Linked DNA regions of Drosophila melanogaster. The protein of the gene in region 1 interacts with the protein of each later gene in a pairwise test. Each region holds a gene or a part of one and is shown in the gene's direction. Other genes may lie near its edges.

Evidence for each region.
Region 2: the proteins of CG15578 (region 1) and CG13168 interact in a two-hybrid assay, tested with the Drosophila melanogaster proteins (one large-scale study listed by BioGRID).
Region 3: the proteins of CG15578 (region 1) and CG12995 interact in a two-hybrid assay, tested with the Drosophila melanogaster proteins (one large-scale study listed by BioGRID).
Region 4: the proteins of CG15578 (region 1) and mbo interact in a two-hybrid assay, tested with the Drosophila melanogaster proteins (one large-scale study listed by BioGRID).

What each region holds. Positions count from the first base shown.
Region 1 is NC_004354.4:4,276,999-4,279,834, reverse strand, and holds CG15578 (uncharacterized protein), read left to right. Parts: upstream 1-1,873; 5' UTR 1,874-1,972; coding exon 1,973-2,242; 3' UTR 2,243-2,288; downstream 2,289-2,836.
Region 2 is NT_033778.4:12,252,272-12,256,266, forward strand, and holds CG13168 (uncharacterized protein), read left to right. Parts: upstream 1-1,720; 5' UTR 1,721-2,089; coding exon 2,090-2,093; intron 2,094-2,149; coding exon 2,150-2,744; intron 2,745-2,800; coding exon 2,801-2,950; intron 2,951-3,002; coding exon 3,003-3,336; 3' UTR 3,337-3,430; downstream 3,431-3,995.
Region 3 is NC_004354.4:17,208,856-17,211,870, reverse strand, and holds CG12995 (uncharacterized protein), read left to right. Parts: upstream 1-1,873; 5' UTR 1,874-1,909; coding exon 1,910-2,431; 3' UTR 2,432-2,503; downstream 2,504-3,015. Other genes in the region: CG32563 (uncharacterized protein), read right to left, coding at 2,862-3,015.
Region 4 is NT_033777.3:12,675,968-12,680,793, reverse strand, and holds mbo (members only), read left to right. Parts: upstream 1-1,741; 5' UTR 1,742-1,792; coding exon 1,793-3,901; 3' UTR 3,902-4,307; downstream 4,308-4,826. Other genes in the region: Cyp313a4 (cytochrome P450 313a4), read left to right, coding at 1-144, 304-376, 420-546, 606-1,191, 1,259-1,419; CG43630 (uncharacterized protein), read left to right, coding at 4,538-4,684; Gnmt (glycine N-methyltransferase), read right to left, coding at 4,789-4,826.

The sequences.
Region 1 (2,836 bases):
TGCAAAGTAGATTTGTAATTGCAGCGTAGGGGTTTAAAAAAGAGGTGTGTTTAAGCTCTTATGTGCTGATTACCAAATGTGAATCATACAGCCATTTATAGAGACTAGATATAAATCGTAGCTTATAATGACATACATATTATGATTTTTTATTAATACAAAGTTACTAATTTTAGATATCTGTACTTAAAAAGAGTTTATTCTATTCGGTTGTTTTGGATTAAGACTTGGGGCTTTTTTTCGCTCAATTGCTTTCACTGAAATGGGAGCCCTTTGTCTGCGATTTTTCTCATGCATCCTGTAGCCCGAATCCTTTATCCTTCAGTCGAGCTCTAGTCCTAGTCCTAGACCTAGACCTGGGGTCCAAAACAAAGCTAAGTCGCACACAAAGCCAATTGGCCGGCTTCTAACTCACTCTTTCTATTTTCCCCGCCGGTTGTTGGGTAAAAGATGTTAGCTAAAAGGGAACAAAACGAAGCCACGCACTTGTAGTTACAAAGCGGATACTCATTTAAGTTGATTCACCGCACCAACAACTGTACAAAGGACGCGAGGACGCGACGTCAGCCAATGACACTTTATGACAATTGCACTTGGCGGCTGCTCCTGATGAAGGGGGCCCAGAGCAATACTGGGCGGTATATATACATATGTATGTGTATATATCCCGGACGGAGGTCCTGCAAAACAGGGTCGGCTTTCTCCTGGGCCAGCCGAACAAGCGAACAAAGCAGCCAACGAGGACACAACAAGAACAAACAAGTGAAAATCATTCAGGGAAAACTGCCGTCTACCAACTCCATCTCGAAAGGAAATCCGCGTACGCTGGGGAGCGCAGAGAACTCTACGCCAAATAAAACAAATAAGAAAGTTATCGTATTGATGTTTGGACTAAACGATACCTAGTGCTTGGAACGAAGAGTTTCGGCTAAATTAGTTATACAGTAAAACATCTCAGCAAATATGCTGTGTACGATTTTGTCACAAACTTAAAACTGTTATGATTACCGGCGGCTTCTTTTCGCTCAATACTGCCCTTTATATTTTACTGTATAGCAACCAATAACTCAAATTACACCGATCCCCCTTCAATGCACTCCTGAGCTGCACAGATGCTACGTAAAAGCACAAAAACAAAAAGTAATCGTAAACAAAATGCCGGAAAAGGCAAAAAACATGGCGACAAAGACGGTGGCGACTATGGCGATGACTATGACTCCAAACCACGTGCTCCATATGCTGAACATGAGGCGAATGCGAATGCGAATGCGAAGGGGATCCTGGGTATACATACATATATGTATATATGGCCGAGATCGTGGGCACGAGTGGTGGAGATGCGGAGATGTGGAGATGAGAGCGGCCCGACGTCGCCGTGATAATGACTTTTTGTCTCTGCTCGAATGTCACTTGATGTTTGTGGGCCCTTCGCTTCCTGGCTACACTCGGAAAATTGTTGCACCCAAAGATGCAATAGAAATATACATGTATTTTTGCAACGCAAAATCTAAAAGTTACAAAATAAGAGGCGCACTTTAACTTGCAAATCAAGATACTTTAGTGGGTATTTTAATTTATTGAAGACACTATCAACTCGATCAGCCTTTCTTTAGTTGCTGTGTTTCCTGCTCTTTGTTGCTTTTCTGGCTGTTGCCTTTGTTGTTGCAGTTTTCGTTTTTATGCCTCGAGGTCATTCAAGTTCAACCCGCCACAGTCGCCATCTGATTAATTGGCCATGCTGTTGAAGCACACCGGCAAGAAGGCCAAAAAGCAAGGATCGAAGCAGGCTGAAAATTCATGTAGTTGGCATTGCCTTTTACTGTCACAAATAGCTGGGACTTTCGTTCCCCTACCTAGCTAATAACGATATAGGCCAGCCGTTGAGTCAGTAACAAAATTTTTCTATACTTTTACATTTGGTTTCCCAAAAAAAAAAAAAAAATCACAAAAAAAAACGACAAAAAAATTAAACATGGCCGACATCTTCACGACACTGCCGAAACGTCGGTTGGTACCCAACCTACTTAAGTCCATTATAATGGTCCTGGAGCATACTAGCCGACCCATGACTGACACAGAGCTGAACATCTTCCTGGGCAGCCAGTACCAACGTAACGATCCGGAATTCTTTGCCCAAGTGCAAATCAATCTGCACGATGGCATCGAAAGCGCCATTCTGAGGCGCCAGGGAAACCAGATTTCGCTGCTCGCTTGGATCCTCACCAAACCGATGAACCTTTGAAAACCGCCAAACCCACACTTCAGATAAGAAGAATAATCCTTAACAGAACAGTGTATCCTTTTGTTTTATTTGGTTATTATTTGGTAGGGAAGTTAACAAATTATCATGTTCCATGGGGCTTTTTGTACTGTGCAACGGCGGCTAAAGCGTTTGGACACATATATACATCTCGGTCTTAAAGTATGCACTTTAATTATATACGTAAAGAGGGCCTTGCCAATTGTTGAACATCCGGGTAATCGACGCAGTAGCAGCTGTAACAGGGTCGCAATCCGTATCCTGCAAAGTCAGATATTAGTCGAAACTGTGCTTTACCAACGTTAAACGTTACATTTGGCACCGAATCCCACGCCCGATTGGCCTTCTGGTGGCAGACGCGTTTTGTGGCAAATATTTGTGAATGTTTGCATTGAATCGCCAAATATGCAATTATATCATAAATTAAGCGGTGAAAATCAAACATTCTACGGAGTGATGATAATGTGAAAATTTCGAGGATCGAAGCAGTCAGGAAATTCATGTAGTTGGCTTGCCTTTTTGCTGTCACACGTATCTGGGGCTTTCGTTCCCGAGCTCATAACGACTCAGGCTGCC
Region 2 (3,995 bases), on another chromosome or scaffold:
TTCCCCATCCCCACCATTCCCTAGCCACGAACCACCACCCACCATTAAGCACAGTTAGTTAGTCGTTTCTTGTTTCTCGTTTCCCTTTCCTTGAGTCCATTGTTCCGCGGTATCTCCGCTGTTCTCGCCTCTCCCTCTCTGTCGCCCACTTCTGCGCGACGACTATGGCCAAAAGTAATCTTCCAAGGCAAATGTGAACCACAAACAAATTTATAGCTGCAATGCGGCCAGGCCGAGCATAACGGGCCCACATTTCTGTGAAATCTATGTGAGAGCAGATGTGCAGAGGGGATGGAAATGGAGAAATAGAACTCAAAAGGAAACTGTCGAGTGAGGACGACTATAAAAATATACAACAATACTGCCAAGGCAACGGGACATAATGAGCCAGGGCCAGACGGCCCGAAACGGTAAATGGTAAGCGGTAAGTCTCTAATCGGTTAACGGTAAAGCCGAGCTCAGCTGAGCGAATGTGGGCCACCAGCAGGAGAGCGAACCATTTTGGCTTTGGATTTTTGCTTTTGCCCTGCACCTCCTTTGCAGTACCGTTAGCGTTTTTCTGCGTTCGTGCTTTGCATGGCCATTTGTTACGTATACGTGTGCGCAAGACTCTCGTTCTCTCTGCAGACTTGCCTTATTTGGCTGCATACTGTAGGGCGCTCTCCCGTTACTCCTGAATTTCAAATTTCGATGCATAACTTGAGGCGCTCGCTCTCTCTTTCTGAATCTCTCTCTCTCTCTTGTTATGTCCCTTTTTACTTTACACGTTTTGCTGCACACTTTGAAAGCACATTCTCTCTTCTTGCTCTCTCTGCTTGTTTATGCGTCATTTCTTTTGGCTTTTTCTCACACATCTCTCTTTTTGCAAAGGCAACAACAAATATTATGTCTTGCTCAATTTTATTTTTCTTCCCTTTCATCTTGCCCTTCCTTTTTTTAGTTGGTTCGCATTGCAGCATTTTATTTGCTAGCTCATTTATGCAATTACTACTGCCTTTAGTTATAACATATTATATATTTATTCATTTTAAGAAAAAGTACTGACCCTTATTATATTATTACTTCGTCTAAGTAACTAAAATTTATTTAAAATTAAATTAGGTAGGATGTGCTGAGACTCCACTGTACTAGTGAATCCGATTTTTGGCAGATTGCAGCGAAGGGCTCCCAGATTACATTCACTCTGTGGCTCCCCCTTTCATGCCAGTTTCATTAGGTAGATTTTCCACCTGAGTGAGGAACATTTCACCACCACCACCAACCCCACCCACCAACATTGTTCTGCATTCACAAGTTCGTTTCATGCTCTTATGGTTTTCTTTTTTCCCAGCAAGCCCCTCTGCAGCGCATTTTCCCTCGTTTGCTTTGCTGCAGCAGCTTTCATTCATGCCACGTCAGTTGACATAATGCGACATGGCCACACACAAGCAACAAGCCACCCACCGAAGGCGAGCGCCCACCGCCCCCTAGAAAACCGCCCCACACTCTTCATTGTCGACTACTGCACTTGGCAAAAGTTTCTACCAGTCATTGCCATGAAAGTGCCATTCAAATTTACCGCCCCTCGCCACGCCCCCTTCTTCAGTTGCTCCTTGATCGAAAGGGTTTCTATTTGGTATATATTCTTTGGCTTTGCAACCAGGCAACACGGTCAACATAGCAAGCCATGTTTGTTTATCCCCAAAAACAATAACAAACTCGGCTCAGAATTCAAAAAGACCTCGACACAAGCATAGCCAGAAAATCGGAAAAACATAAATTATAGAAAAAACAAAAGAAGCATAGAAGTTAAGAATATTCAAACAAGTGAAATACGCTCAAGAACATTTAATGGAAAAAAAAGCTTCACTTTCCAGGTTGCGGCAGATTAATTGCACCTATCTGCTTTAACTTCGTGATTTCGTTAATAATAAATAGAAAATTCCTGTTGTATCCGAGAGTCGTTTAAATTAATACATTTTAAAAGAACCCGGCACACAATTATATCGCAAAAAGGAAATTTTGTAAAGTTATTAATGTCTGTGTAAACGAAAATCTTTCAATGAGGATTTTATATATGCGCCAGGATCCGTAAAGCTGCTAAGTAAAAATGGGTTAGTATAAAATGAATGTTTTAAGACAAAACCAGTCATATCCTTTTTCCTTCCAGATACCACCGCCGAACGTCAGGTGAGACTGGAAGGAGTGGAACGTGTGCTCAAGATGTCCCAGGAGCGCATCAAGATAGCGATGATCATACCGAAGCTGCTGGAGAATCCCGAGAAGTTGAAGAGCGTCCTGAAGGACACCTGCTATGAGGAGGTTCTCGAGCCCATCGATGACATGATCCGCCACCTTGGCAAGCAGAGTGGACGTTCCAAGCTGCCACATGACCACACCACCATGCGAATCGTGGACTTCTTCCTGGTCAACCATAGCATTCATCGATTCTTTCCGCACTTGAAGAAGAACCTAAACGAAAGGGATCGCCAATTGCTGGCCGCCTTTCACTTTCTCCTGGAGAGCGCCCACGTCCATCTGCACCGATCCTCGCGTAGCGAGATTACCAAGGAGCGAAAGCTCCATGCCATCTTTCATCAGAATGTGGACATCAAGAAGAAAATCAAGGAACTGAAGGCGAGCCTGGCCTTCCAGAAGGTGATTGGCAAATGGAAGACGGCCGCCAAGGGCATCTATCTGATGAAGGTCGAGGAGGATCTGGCCAATAAGAAGTGGCAGAACAACGTGGCCATTCAGAACGAAATGTAACTCGGATTTCTAGTTCTAGAAATTCTTATTTGAATATATTTACAAATTACAGTGAAAAGTGCCATCGCACGATGCGAAGCTACCACAAGAGCAGCATGGACAGGCAGAAGGAATTGGAGGAGGAGCTGCAGAATGCCCGGGAGAGCTACGAGAAGATGACCAAGAAGCATCTGGCCGAAGAGCACGAGCTGCGAAGCGAAAAGTAAGCTACAAATCGAGTAATTTATTATTTAAGTGCTCTCAATCCTTTATAGAAACAAATTGCTCCTGCAACTGCAGAGTATGCTTAAGAAGTACGATACCAGCCTGGGCGAAAAGATGCGTGAGAATTTGGTGGCGGAGGATCAGTATCTGGCTGCCAAGAAGGTCCTCGACGATTTTATGGTCCAGTACAGGCAGGAGGAGCGCATCTACAAGAACATCGTGGTCAAGCGAGAGGAGGAGGAACGTCGCGTGCAGCAGGAGAAGCTGGTCATCTTCATGATGAACCGGGCGGCGGGCAAGATTCAAAAATACTGGCGCAAGTGGAAGAAGGATCAGCGCAAGAGGAAGCGCCAGGGAAAGGGCAAGGGCAAGAAGGGAAAGTAGTGTCCCAAACCGGATCTCTGTATATTTCTACATTGTACAATTTATATGTAGAAATACGAATATATTCCAACCTTCTACTACTACTAACGTGTATATATGTATCCTGTTTTCTCATTATTTTTTAAAACTGTCACATGCTAAAAAGTTATGTTTGCTTGAGCTCATTTGTTGTTTGCAAGCTTTTGTGGCATGAAAATCACTAAGCATGCATAAGTACCCATGTATGCAAATTAATATTTCCATAAGAGAAAAGGCAAATGTTTACTCGCAATTAAATCGTGTTTACTTGGCACTTGACAACACACAGAAATTTTCTGGAATTTCTTATATATTCTAGAGTAAAGAAATGATTATTTCCTTTATTCAGCAAGGCTAACCAATTTTATTAAATATTTTTCTATTGAACTGCGATAAATTTCGCCTAAGACATTGTCAACGCGGTTTTTTCTATGGGGTCAGAGGGCGAAATGTGTGGCTTCCCTGCGATTGCGAAAATCCAAGAGAGAATGAAAACGCCTGGCAGAATGTTTACCCAACACGCACACACACACACACACACACACATACAGCGATGGAGGGAAAAGCCAAATTTTCATGTCTTGCGGGGCGAACGAAAAATGGCGCATTGCTGTCGTCGCCAAGCGACAACGACTACGACA
Region 3 (3,015 bases), about 13 Mb from region 1:
TCGTCTACCTGTTTCATACTTTCTAACGAAACTAGTATACCCCCTTTCTCAAAGACTAAGGGGTATCAAAATTAAACACAAAACAAGCGGTGCTATTACATTGGTAATTTGTGAGCCCGACTGGTGGTGTTGCTGCTGCTGTTCGTTGATGTTGCCGGCACGCAACCCGCCAGAAACTAGCAACTATTAACCAGCAACTAGCAACCAGCAACATGGAATAAACAGCGGCAATCAGAAGCGCCAATAGCCCAAATGCGAGTGCTTCCAGTTGGCCATTTGGATGGTGGATTCACAGATTAATACTGCCCAATTATTCACACTGGCCGACTTCGAAGAAATGCCGAGCTACACCCAAAGAAAATACCCAATAAATGTCAATCCTAATGGGATAGTATAATATACCATAGAAGCAACTAACCATTTAAAAAATTAATTTTTTAATTATTGTGATAAAATAAATATTTATCAGTTGTTTCATTTAATATTTATAGTTTTCAAAATATAATATTCTCTCTACTTCCTGGGCTTTTTTCAGCTTATATTCTCAGATGTCTTTCGATAAAGTTTTGTTACTAGTATTATTTGTTGATTGATATTTTCTTGACTTTTTTTACTGATTCATATATTATTATTCATTTAATGAGAGCAGCCGAACTTCGCTACAAACCGATTTTCTTAGTTTTTGGAAATTTATTCGCACATAGCGCGCTGAATTGACGGCAAATGTTTATATGTACATCGGTAACGGTTTTGTTTCGCTTTTCCACCTTTTGCAATCTTCCAGGCACTCGTGCTCCATATATGGAGTATATAGCACCCATATCTTGTTGGGAATGGGAATATTGGTGAGTATGTCAGACGCATGGAGCTGTGGGTTTTTTTAAAAACTACTGGCGATCGAGCGCGGACTTCTCGCTCTGCTGGCTTCTTGTGCTTTTAATTGCAGTAGAGAGACTCATGAAATCGAAATCAATTCAGATTGCTCTATATCCATTAGACTATAATTTGGAGTTAGTTTGAGTTATAGATTTATGTAAGACTCGCTGATGATAAGTTAAGAGAGAAATATATAAAATAAAAGACTTGATAAACGGATGCTGTTCTTAGAGAATATTTTTGGCAATGTATTTAAATCCTTTTCGTGATTTAATAAATTTGCGAAATATGTTTCAAATAAGTTTGTACTCTACATCTTTGACTATTTTATATTTATCAAATATAAAAGTACCTATCCAAACAGTTTCTCAATGAGTTAAGTGCACTTTTTGGCCACTTTGCACAATGGACACATCTCACTGCATTGTTTGGCCCGATAAATATACACCTTCAACTCACATACTCGTATATGTGAATGACTCTTTATATTTGCCATTCTACTTCCACTATTTGCTGTTGATAAACCCAATTAGTTGGCCTGTGCCAAAAATCTAGCGAGCTTCCGCCTTAAGTGCAAATAGGCGGAGGGTTAAGGCCCACAGGGATGCCACAGATGACGCAATATGGTCCATATACCGAGAACGGGCCTAATGGCCAAAAAGCCAAAAAATAATTGAGAAGACCAAAATTATTACGTATACGCACCATTGCAACAGGCTTTTCAATGGCCCCGCCACTTAGACGTCGACGTAATGCGGAGTAAGTGCAGCAAATTATCAGCTCCAGCCGAACGAGCGGCCAGCAGGCAGATGTCCGTTGCAACATTTTTTTTTTTCTGTGTTTTTCGCTTTTAGCCAAACAAAACAAAAGACTGTGTGCAAAAGTCGACGGAAAATGCAGGAAAATGCGGCATGTATTTGCGGTCGAATGTGAGTGCTCCGAGCATATAAAATCCAATGCAGTTGGTAGCAGTAAATTAGTTGACTCGAAACATTTCGCCGCGTCGGTTAAAACACTTCTACCACATCCAACCATGTTCACCTATCGCCTGAAACTGATGATCCTTCTGGGTCAGCTGCTGCTAGGCATCCAATGTTATCCTTTGGGGGATGATGTGTCCTCCAATGCAGTGGTCCATTCGGCGGGACTTTTGGGCCACTACGCCGGCGGTCTGACTGGCGGCGAGGCCTTGTCCAAGCTGGACTTCAGCTCATCTTCGCACGAATTCGGAGCCTCCGCGGAGGCGGATCACTTGGGCTCCCTCGGCGATCACCTGGGCGAGGAGAGCTTCCCGTCAGATTACGGCAGCAGCGATGCCGGCGAGGAGTACGCCGAGGCCAGCGAGTTGCACTCCCACTACGAGGACCACAAGGCTGTGCCCGGCATCGATCATGGCAAGGGCGCCTTCAGCTACAGCACCCTGTACGAGTTCAAGGATCGGGATGAGCACGAACTGCACCACATCCAGCACCAGGCACTCGAACAGCAGGTGGAGCACCAGGCGGAGCACGACCACCACCTGGCGGAGCACCACCAGCTGGAACATCTCTACTAAGACTGTGATAGTCGCACACAAGACCTATCAAAATGCTCAAAGATTATATTATTATAAAAGTGTTTTTTTTTTAACGATTATTAAAATAAATGTAAGTTAAATTGAATTGAAAAGCTCTCTTGGGGGCACAACCTATAAATAAATATGGTCAAGTATTTATGAAAATTTAAATAAGTTAAAAAGATGTCCTGGATTTTAATTAATTACAAAATCTGCATGTTTAAAAATGTTACATATTTAAAAATTGTGTTTTTGGCACACATATAAATATTGTCCATGCATTCGTCAACCTTAAAAACCAATATATTTTATAGCAATTTTATTGAATAATAAATTGAAAACAAACAAAAAAAAACTTAACTTAAAGTAATAAGACCGCCGAAAAGTAGTTATTTATGATAGTTTATAAATTGTTTCGCAATGAACCCATTTAGCGGCCGTGGGAGTGGACAACTTGATGCTGGGGCAATTTGAGTTGCGAAAAGTCCACATTATCATTGACCACGATGCGGGGTTCGTGGATCGAAGGTATCGAAGGTATCGATGGAATCGATGGAATCACTGAATGTGGCAAATGCGATGCG
Region 4 (4,826 bases), on another chromosome or scaffold:
TCGGCCACAAGGTGCTACTCAGCTTCCTGCCCATTTTCAACCGGGAGACGGCCCTTCTGCTCGATCAACTCGAACCACTGCAGGATGACGGCGAGAAGGATCTCATTCCACTGCTGCAGAGCTTCACCCTGGGAATTGCCACCCGTGAGTAAAGAAGAATGTGTTGTTTGTTTAAAAAAAGACTCATAAATTATGGCTATCACGTTTGTTGTTTGCATACAAAGTGGTCGAAAGCCAGAATGCATAATTCAGTTAGAAGAGTCGATCTGATATTAAATATATGATATACTTATATGAAAGCAGAAACCACCATGGGCAGCGATGTAAAGGATGAAGAGAGCTTCAGGAGCAATTCCTTGCTGGGGCGATACCAATGGTGAGTTTTGACTTGGAATCGGAATGCATCTATCCATTAATAGCATCCTGGAAACCATGACAGATATGTGCTTCTCTCCGTGGCTCAATAGCCGATTTTGCCGGCAGCTGGCTGGAAAGGAATCGCACTACTACCAGGCCAAAACTGAGATTCGTCAGTTTATTCGGAAGGTGAGCACCTCCAACTACTCCCTCCGCTTATTCACTTACGAATCTCTTAACCCCTTTAGATAATTGAGAGAAAGTTGGCCGAGGACGAAATGGGAGCACTACCTTCCATCCAGTCCAATGATAAAAACCTATTTCTAAATCTGGTCACGGATTTGATGAGACGAGGAGTGTTTACCCTGAAGAATGTTGAGGATGAGTCGAATATCATCGTTTTTGGAGCTTTTGAGACCACGGCTAATGCAGTGTACTACACCCTGATGTTGCTGGCGATGTTTCCGGAATACCAGGAGAGGGCCTTTGAGGAAATAAAGACGATATTCCCAAACACAGGAGACTTTGATGTATCCTACGCGGACACCCAGCAGATGGTGTACCTTGACCTGATCCTCAACGAATCCATGAGAGTAATACCCCCTGTTCCTGTCGTATCCCGACAAACGTCTCAGGATCTGAAGCTGTCCAATGGTATAGTGGTTCCCAAAGGGGTCCAGATCGCCATCGACATTTATCACATGCACAGAAGCAAAAAGATCTGGGGTCCGGATGCGGAGACCTTCAACCCAGATCATTTCCTCCCCCACAACATCCAGGACAAGCATCCGTACGCCTATATACCTTTTACCAAGGGCATTCGAAATTGCATAGGTAACAGAGTGATCGCTAATTTATGACCATTGTTTTAGCTATATTCTTATTATTTCCTTCTGTTTAGGTTGGAGATATGCCTTAATATCGGCGAAAGTTACATTAGCCAAGTTATTGCGGAATTATAGGTTTAAAACGAGTTTTCCCTTCGAAAATCTATACTTTGTTGAAGATATTACGATGAAGTTGAAATCTGTGCCACTGTTGGAGCTCCAAAAGAGAACTTAAATGTTTATAGCACTTAGTGATTTTAAATAGATTATTAAAAGTTGTTGAATTAATGGGTTCTGTGAATTATACCAATATTAAAAAATAATAACATCTACCTTTTATAATCTTTTATTAACTATTAATCAATTATTCCATTTTTTAAATTTATAGCATGATTTATGCTAACGTCTTTCGTTGAAAAGTTTAAGCAGCAATAATTATTAGTACATTTTCCGAAAATGTTGGTGTTAGCGTTTTTTTAACAAATTTCTTGTTTCATGAATTCGAATTAAAAAAATACTAAAAAAAAATACTTTGCGGATTTCCGAAGACTACTATCACACTAGCATTGACTTACAAGCCGGGCAACGAATTGAAGCATAAACAAACGATGTCGCTCACCGATGTCTTGGAATTGAACAAAACGGAGTTGTTCGCGAAGATTCGCAATGGGTTGCCCGTGGTGCAAAGGACTCAGAACCTGCTGGACTGCAAGGACGATCTGCTCTTTGCCTGGCACGCGAAGGACAGCTGTCTGTTGGTTCGCAACTGGCGCTCATCGCTGGCGGCAAAGGTGAATATCCAGTTCCAGACACTGATTCCATCGAGCTTGGTGAGCCTGGAGGTGGACCGCGTGCTGGCCTCCAACGAGGGCTCCCTCGTGGCACTAAGTGGACCGCGCGGCGTTGTCATAATGGAGCTGCCCCGCCGCTGGGGCCCCGATGGATACTACAAGGATGGCAAGCCAGTGATCACCTGCCGCACGTTCGGCCTGGACACTCAGCTTTTCCTAAAAAACCCGCACTTGGAAGTGCGCCAGGTCCGCTGGCATCCGCACTCCGTGTCAGACTCCACGCTGCTCGTGCTGCTCAACAACAACACGATTCGAGTGTACAATCACTCCAAGTTGCGCCACGTGTGGCAGGTGGGTCCCCCGGTGCTTCGAAGTGGGGCCAATAACTCGCTATGCGACTTTGGCGAGCTAGCCGTTGACTTTGACATCGCTCCTGCTGCAAAACCACGTGTCACTGAACCAGAAACAGCCGGCAATAACGAAACCACTTTGGATAAGAGCAACAAAACCCTTGTGGCGGCCAAATCGCTGCCGAAACAGGAGAGGATAGAGTGGCCCATGGTTGTGCTCCGCGAGAATGGAAACATCTACATTTTGATGACCGGCGTGGATTCGGAGAATACGCGCCTGCAGGGCCCCGTTACCATAACGCCACAGGCACATGACAATTATGGACTGGAGTCCTGTGCCCTAATGATTATCCCATCACTTCCGCCGACCATTGTTATAGCTGAATCCAATGGAAAGCTTCACCATGCTCTGCTTATGGAGGCGGAGGCCACTGAGCATTCTTTCAATGAGGTTGACGACTCTGTGTTGATTGAACCCGCCGAATACGTTGTACATGTACTAGAAACTGTCGAACTTGAGCTGGGAATATCTGCACCCGCAACTGGAAAAGAAGGAGGCAACTGTCCCATATACTTAAAGCGGGATTTGATCAATGAGCTTCGCTACTTTGCCTACCACAACGCAGGACTTCATGCCGTTACGGTCAGCTTTATCGCAGAGCTGCAACGTTACTTGGAAAGCGAGTCCGATGAAGATCGTCTAGAGCTGGCGGTCTCTGCAAGTGCAGAGTACATTCTGTGCACAAAATTCGATTCCAGTGAGACGGTGAACGCAGTCTTTGGACTTGCCCTATTACAAATTCCTGCCGGTATAGTTCTACTGCTGGGCAGCGGTCAGGTGATTAGCCTTAAGCTGGTAATTGATGCCCAGCTGTTGGTTACACCTAATGAGAATAAGCCAGTTGACTCGGAAGTGTCTCAGCAGGAAAGTGGGCCACCGTTTGTCGATACGATTAAATCGCTTTTGCAACGTAGTGTTAACCAGCCCATCTTGGCGGATAAACTTTCCTCGCCATCCGCCCAGGAGAGCTTCGAACTGCTTAACCAGGCAATCGAGGTGCTTCGTGAGCAGTACCTTAAACGACATGACCTTGTGCGCGCCGCATTTACACGCCACATCAACCAGATCCAGCTGAAGAAGGAACAACAGCTGCAGGAGATCCAAGACCTGGAGCAGGAACGCGAACTGATCAGCGAGCGGGCCCACAAGCTTGCCGAGCGCTTCGAGGAGATTAGCTACAACCAGGAGCTGCTCGTCCGCAAGTGCAACGCTCTGATGCAGAGGGCCAATGCCTCACTACCCAATAGTGTGATTGCGGAACGGGAGTTTTCGCAGGAGGTGATTCGACTTAATAAGGTCACCCAGAGCCTGGCCGCTGGACTGGAGACTGCTAAGAAGACGTTTAACAAGCAGCGCTACCACATTGCCCAGAGTCAAGAGGACCTCAAGAAGAACGCGTACGAGCTGCCGGAGAAACAGCACCGCACTATCACCGAGATACTTACCCAGCTAACCGGGGAGATCGATCGCCAGATCACCGACGTCAAGCGCATTAATAAAATCGTTGGCATCTAAATTCGGATTGGGAAGCACGCTCTTAAGATTTCACCACGTTTTCGTGATAGTAAAGCCGTTGCGTAGAACTAAAACGTATTTTTAATAAACATGTCAATTAAGTCCTATTTTCGTTAGCTGGCTTCTGTTTTTTGTATTCGATGACACTTTAATGAGCATACGTCAGCGTTTTCTGCTAGACGATCCTTCATGAAGACACAAAAACATTTGATACCCATGGGTATTGTGCTACAAAGTCTACTACAGTAAAATCTATTCTTGACGTACTGTCCCATTTTCCGGATTATAGTTCAAAAAGTAAAATAATAGTAATAAAATAATAATAAGAATAAAATAATGAATAATAATAGTAGACTTCATACATCATAATTCGGAAATACAAAGTATTGTAGTACTGCTGTAACATAGTTTTCCAACTTTCAGCTCCACTGTTATTAGAATACCACAAATTTTTCTAGTATTTGGTTTTTAAAGTATCGCATTTCGATCGTTACTCATTTTCTCTGCAAAGCAGAACCCATTGAAAACGTAATGGAAAAGCATTTGCAAGGCTAATGACACTCGCCCCAAGAATTGAGGGTTTCGATAGCTATTGCGTTTTAGTGACAGTCTAAAGCGAAGTTCGGCGGACGAGAGATGACGTTGATACTACTGGCTGCCCTGTCGAACATCTACACCGGGATGTTCAACTACGTGAAGGCCAAATTCCCGTTCGTGATCGAGGCCGCCATGGTGACCCTGTGCTTTGGCTCCATCGTGGGTCGATTCTGCATAATGGTTTAGAAGAAAACTGAGGAGACTCGAGACTGTGCGAATCGAAGGAACTTTATGTATATTTATATGGATGTGTCTTGTGGCCTTATGTGAATACAACTAAAAACTTAAATCTAAACCTGTGGCTTTTCGATCAGGTGAATGTAGAAGG